Linked DNA regions of Callithrix jacchus. The protein of the gene in region 1 purifies or fractionates together with the protein of each later gene. This does not show direct contact. Links are inferred from orthologs where the notes say so. Each region holds a gene or a part of one and is shown on either strand. Other genes may lie near its edges.

Region 1 (3,654 bases):
ATTTATCCGTTGAAGAAACCAGGTCAGTTGTCCTACAGAATTTCTCATATTTAGGAGTTAGCTGATTGGGTGGAGATTGACACATTCTCTCTGCCGATATTTCTTGTAAACCAATAGATTTAGAAGCATAATCACTTCAGGTGCCAAGAAGACTTGACAGTGGATGTGAGCGCTTCTGGCGGCATCACATAAGGATGCATGGAGCATCTGGTCATTTTTCTTGTTAGCAATAAGATTGACCAGTGGGTTCAGGTGCCATCAGTCTGAACCTTTTATATAAAGTTTCTCATGAACTTTGTGTATAGCGGTTTTAGCAACCATTGGTGGTCTTACCTGTTTATGACCATCATAAAAGGGGTATTAAACCTCATGTTTATCTTCTGGTCCTTGCTTTTTATTTTTTAACTTAATGTTTATTACCAAGATCTGTGCACATAGCTGTCTGTAACTGTGGCACCTTTTTTCACTGCTGTATAACATTCCACACGTCGTCTCTTTACGTAGCCCTTTGTCTCCTCTCCTCCCCACACTCCTCTTCTCCAGGAACCATCATGGGTAGTGGGAGGTGGCAATGGTGGTGGTGGTTTTCATTATCCACCTCATTGTCTGAGTCCTGGGGGTTGGATATGTCCTGTTCCGCCTCTCCCAGTCGGAAGTTGAAGCTCTAACTGAACAACTAAGTGAAGAGGAGGAGGAGGAAGAGGAGGAAGAAGAAGAAGAGGAGGAAGAAGAGGAGGAAGAGGAAGAAGAGGAGGAAGATGAGGAGTCAGGGAATCAGTCAGATAGGGTAAGAGATGGAGGCTGACATCACCAGAGGAGTGGGAGACTGTGGGGCCGGATGTCTGGTCCTGAAGGTGTTGTGGGGAGCCCTGAGGGCGAGGGTTCCTAACTACTCCTCCCCCTTCCCAGAGTGGTTCCAGTGGCCGGCGCAAGGCCAAGAAGAAATGGCGAAAAGATAGCCCATGGGTGAAGCCATCTCGGAAACGGCGCAAGCGGGAGCCTCCAAGGGCCAAGGAGCCACGAGGTGAGGAGGCTCTGCTGCTTTTGGGTGCCCTCCTCCAGCCCCACCCAGTCCCCAGAGTGCGTGCACGCACACACACGCTCTCGCATGTCCACCTGCATGTACCCACACATCCAGATACCTGTGAGCTCGCACTCTCACTCTCTCTGTCTCTGTGTCAGGAGTGAATGGTGTGGGCTCCTCAGGCCCCAGTGAGTACATGGAGGTCCCTCTGGGGTCCCTGGAGCTGCCCAGCGAGGGGACCCTCTCCCCCAACCACGCTGGTAATTGCCAATTGCTGGGACAGGGAGCCACTAGGTGGTGACCTCAGGGCAGGAGGGAAAGGGGAGGAGGGAAACCACACCAGAGCCGGGGTGTCCATGGCCAGGCTTTGGGGGTTCTGGGGCATGGGGGGGTGAGGTAGGGTGGGAATGAGAGGACCCGCCAGGGGTCCCAGTGGGTGAGGTCCAGGGCCTCCCTCAGCTCCTCTTTTCCTCTGTCCAAGGGGTGTCCAATGACACATCTTCACTAGAGACAGAGCGCGGGTTTGAGGAGTTGCCCCTGTGCAGCTGCCGCATGGAGGCACCCAAGATTGACCGCATCAGCGAGAGGGCAGGGCATAAGTGTATGGCCACGGAGAGTGTGGACGGAGAGGTGGGGCCGTGTGCTGGTGGGAGAGGTGCCAGGGCGTCCAGTCCTGGGCCCTATCCTCACCCTCTCTTTTCACTCATCCTCACTGTACACAGCTGTCGGGCTGCAACGCTGCCATCCTCAAGCGGGAGACCATGAGGCCATCCAGCCGCGTGGCCCTGATGGTGCTCTGTGAGACCCACCGTGCCCGCATGGTCAAACACCACTGCTGCCCGGGCTGTGGCTACTTCTGCACGGCGGTGAGCGACTGACCACTGGGATAATCTGGTAGCATGCCCCATAACAGGGGGGCCCCAGGAACCTGACCACATCGTTTCCCTGCTCCAGGGCACCTTCCTAGAGTGCCACCCCGACTTCCGCGTGGCCCACCGCTTCCACAAGGCCTGTGTGTCCCAGCTGAATGGGATGGTCTTCTGTCCCCACTGTGGGGAGGATGCTTCTGAGGCTCAGGAGGTGACCATCCCCCGGGGTGACGGGGTGACCCCTCCAGCCGGCACTGCAGCTCCTGCACCCCCACCCCTGTCCCAGGATGCCCCCGGGAGAGCGGACACTTCCCAGCCCAGGTACTGGCCTTCTGCTTCTCTACTGTCTGTTCCTGCCCCACCCCTATTGCTCCTGGACATGAGCTCCTTCTTCCACAGTGCCCGGATGCGAGGCCATGGGGAGCCCCGGCGCCCACCCTGTGATCCCCTGGCCGACACCATCGACAGCTCAGGACCCTCCCTGACCCTGCCCAATGGGGGCTGCCTTTCCGCAGTGGGGCTGCCACTGGGGCCAGGCCGGGAAGCCCTGGAAAAGGCCCTGGTCATCCAGGAGTCAGAGAGGTGAGTGGGGAGTTGGTCAGCCACAGCAGCTGGGGCTGGGTCCAGAGCAAATGTGTTGAGGCTGATGCTGGAATCTGAGGAGCCCCCGTTTTCTCCCCACTCCCATGTCCCTTGGCAGGCGGAAGAAGCTCCGTTTCCACCCTCGGCAGTTGTACCTGTCCGTAAAGCAGGGCGAGCTGCAGAAGGTGATCCTGATGCTATGTGAGTGCCGCCCATTCCTTCAGCAGACCTTGACCAAGCTCCATGTGTATACCAGGCACTGGGCTCACGGCCAGGAGGAGAGTCATGCAGGACACAGTCCTTGCCCTGAAGGACTTAGTGTGGTGGGGAAAAAACACATATAACCCACGACGATGGGGACAGTGGTGACTCATAGGTGCCAGATCCTGTTCTGAGTGCTTACACTTGTTAGCCTTGGCACAGAGAGGTTAGGGACCTTGCACAGTGCCCAGTGGTACTGAGAGACAAGGCAGGGTTTGCATTCACGCAGAGCTGATGCCTTTAACTCCTTATTCTGATAAATGCCATGGTGGAGGCAAGCTCAGAGAATGCCAGGAGGGGCCCTGACCCAGCTTGGGGCCTGAGAAGCCTTCCTGAAGAAATGCCCCCTGCCCCCTAGCTTGCTTACCACTTGTCCCTCCCTCTCCCGGTGTGGCGGGCTCTCCCCGCAGTGGACAACCTGGACCCCAACTTCCAGAGCGACCAGCAGAGCAAGCGTACACCCCTGCATGCAGCCGCCCAGAAGGGCTCCGTGGAGATCTGCCATGTGCTGCTGCAGGTCAGCACGGGCCCATGCCTCATTGACTAGGCCCTTAGACCCCTCCCCTGCCCCATCCCTCCCTGGTGCCAGCCCTCCTGCCCCCTCCTCACAGGCTGGAGCCAACATAAATGCAGTGGACAAACAGCAGCGGACGCCACTGATGGAGGCCGTGGTGAACAATCACCTGGAGGTGGCCCGTTACATGGTGCAGCGTGGCGGCTGCGTCTATAGCAAGGTGCACGCGCGGGCAGCAGGGCATGGCCCCCAGAGTCAGGGACGAGGTTTTGGGTGCCAGCCGGAGGCTCATTTGCCCATGTCTCCCCCAGGAGGAGGACGGTTCCACCTGCCTCCACCACGCAGCCAAAATCGGTAACTTGGAGATGGTCAGCCTGCTGCTGAGCACAGGACAGGTGGACGTC
Region 2 (2,738 bases), on another chromosome or scaffold:
GTTAAGTAGAAATTTGAAAAACAAAAACAAAAACAAATTTTTATAATCTTTTATGAATGCTTTTACCACCTGGATAAGAAATATGACTTAATTACTACACAAACACTTAAAAAATCATTAGAAAAACCTTAGCAAAATAAAATGAAAGCTGACAGACTCAGAATAACAATTCCTCTCATAAAAGTTTACCAACTGTACAAGTTAAGAAAATTATACAAGCTTTTGTATTAAGAAAGGACAGCTCAGTCAAGACATATGTACTGTAAAAATCTTTCAAAGGCTACAAAGAATCTGGAAAAATACAGAATGTATTTCTTAAGCCCAGATAAGAATATGGAAAGACATCATTGATGTCAACAATTTTACATATACAAACCTGACCTGGTTTATTTTTAAACTTCTATATATAAAAAAATCATGCTAGCATAATTTTCAGGATTCATAAGGGTTTCCTTAATAATGATACTCAAACTGTATGGCAAGAAAAATGTCTGTTATAAAGACAAGACATTTCAAGAAACTCAGAGAAACTGGTGTTAAGCAGAAATTTGGACTTGAGTTTTTTCCCATTCCTCCATCAAACTAAGCAAAAATTACCTCGTAGTGAAATTTTATGATTAATACATCAAATGAGAAGGTGCAGATATATCTTTAGTTCACTCAAATTTACTAATTTTTAAAATATCCTTAAAAGAGTCTGACAGCTTTAAAGTAAAAAAAATCTGCAAAAGGCAGAATTATGAAACCTCATTTCCTAAAGTTAAGACTCAATTCAAATTTCCAAATTTTAACAAACTGCTTCAAGAAATTCAACTTTTTAAGGTAACCCATCAACCCTGAAAATTTTAGTCACACCAGAATTTACTCCAAAGAAAGTAAAATAGGTCTAAAATTTAGTCATCTGTGTTTTCAAGTTCTTCAAATTTCCCATGTGAGACTGCTTCTTGGAAAAATTCAGAAGAACCTGGACTTTCTTTTCCACTGCTGTTTACCCTTCGCCTTTTGGCAGGTCTCTCACTTTTTTCATCAAAATCGTTTTCATTTCTTGCAGTCATATGGGCAAGTTTTGGGTCAGTGGTAAGGTTATCTGTTTCATAACCATTAGTATCCATATCTCCATGAAGTGGTTTCTTATTTCCACCTGTTGGTCCATTAATGTGTAACCCTTCAACTTTTACTTCTTCTTTGTTTAATATTTCACCTGGTCCATTAGATGACACTCCTAAGTTGAAAGAAACATAAAATGAAACCACAATTACAAAAAAGCTAAATTTGCAAACTACTGTAAAACAGCTTACTGTAAAATTGCTATTGTTATCAAGTAAGCAAGGTATCAAATATATATATACAGTCTGAATTCTTGCTCTATTACTTATTAGTTATGTGACCTTAGGCAAATTATTTACTCTTTCTCTACCTCCATTTCATTACATATATACAATGAAGATCATAATAGAAATTCCACACAGGGTTGTTGTGAAAATTAAATAAGTTCATAAATGTAAAGAACTAAGAAGAGAATTTGGCATATATTAAAAGCATTTTAGGTATATGTGACAGCAAATAAGCACTGGATCCAGAAATCTAAATAAGCTGAATTAACAATGAAAAATGCAATAAATTACTCAGATTTAACAAAAGGTTTTCAACATTCTGAAACTATGTAAAAAGCAAAATGAATATCCTTTCTTATAAAAGCTTGAGTAAGCTACCATATAAAGGCAAGATATGATGACTTTATTCTTAATGTAAATCTCTGGGAACTGTGCTTTTAAAACATCACATACAACCAGGCATGGTGGCTCACGAGGTCAGGAGTTCAAGATCAGCCTGGCCAATATGGTGAAACCTCACCTCTACTAAAAATACAAAAATTAGCCGGGCGTGGTGGAACAGGCCTGTAGTCCCAGCTACTCAGGAGGCTGAGGCAGAAGAATTGCTTGAACCTGGGAGACGGAGGTTGCAGTAAGCCAAAATGGTAACACTGCACTCCAGCCTGGGCAACAGAGCAAGACTCCATTTCAAAAAAAAAAAGATCACACACTATTTACCTAAGTAGACTTAAATATATCTGTCATAATGTTAAAAAGCTAATGTTGCCCTATCCAAGCATATACTTGAAAGTGCTAAAAGTAAAACAAATTCTTCTACAATAGAGGAGAAAAGTAAAAGCAAAATTATTGTAATAAAACAGAAAAGTTCACTTTAGAGTTGACTGTAAAATGAATGGAAATTTTAGTGATACGAAGTAAAATATAGGATGCATCATCACTGAATAATTACAATTTAATTGCCTGAAAAATATTCAACATAAAGGATGAGCCTCAAATATTGTATTTTGATCAAACAAAATATTTTGATCAACTCAAAAATGCACTCAAATCATGAATGCACATGGGGATTATGCATCATAAGATATTGAAGAGAACAATTCTGTAGGATCAAGTCCAAAAAGCTAGCTGAGACTGTGATTAGGTCACAAATAATTGTAAGATTTCAAAGTACTAATTAAAATCCCATATAAAAAAGTACTATAATATTGGGATGGAAAGTTCCTTCCTTTCTTTGAAAAAGCTGGCAGTCTTGACTGTACATAATGTGAGTGGCTTTTGAGCTACGAGTAATTTATAGTAATTTAGGATAGTAACTTAGGAACACTATCCTAAAGAAGCATGTTCTCATCAAAGTTTTTTAAAAAGGAAAAGAAAATGATTTATTTAGTGTTAATATGTTAAGAA

The links. Proteins that work in one complex are often made in the same cells at the same time.
Region 2: the proteins of EHMT2 (region 1) and MIER1 purify together in Homo sapiens (co-immunoprecipitation; 3 studies listed by BioGRID and IntAct, with this or other methods). This does not show direct contact. The link is inferred for Callithrix jacchus from reciprocal best matches to the Homo sapiens genes EHMT2 and MIER1.

The regions. Positions count from the first base shown.
Region 1 is NC_133505.1:39,395,568-39,399,221, reverse strand, and holds part of EHMT2 (histone-lysine N-methyltransferase EHMT2), read left to right. Parts: intron 1-649; coding exon 650-787; intron 788-909; coding exon 910-1,024; intron 1,025-1,182; coding exon 1,183-1,284; intron 1,285-1,505; coding exon 1,506-1,654; intron 1,655-1,746; coding exon 1,747-1,890; intron 1,891-1,978; coding exon 1,979-2,214; intron 2,215-2,292; coding exon 2,293-2,475; intron 2,476-2,593; coding exon 2,594-2,676; intron 2,677-3,146; coding exon 3,147-3,253; intron 3,254-3,347; coding exon 3,348-3,470; intron 3,471-3,561; coding exon 3,562-3,654. UniProt on the Homo sapiens protein: Histone methyltransferase that specifically mono- and dimethylates 'Lys-9' of histone H3 (H3K9me1 and H3K9me2, respectively) in euchromatin.
Region 2 is NC_133508.1:104,196,054-104,198,791, reverse strand, and holds the end of MIER1 (mesoderm induction early response protein 1), read right to left. Parts: intron 1,223-2,738; coding exon 894-1,222; 3' UTR 651-893; downstream 1-650. UniProt on the Homo sapiens protein: Transcriptional repressor regulating the expression of a number of genes including SP1 target genes. Probably functions through recruitment of HDAC1 a histone deacetylase involved in chromatin silencing.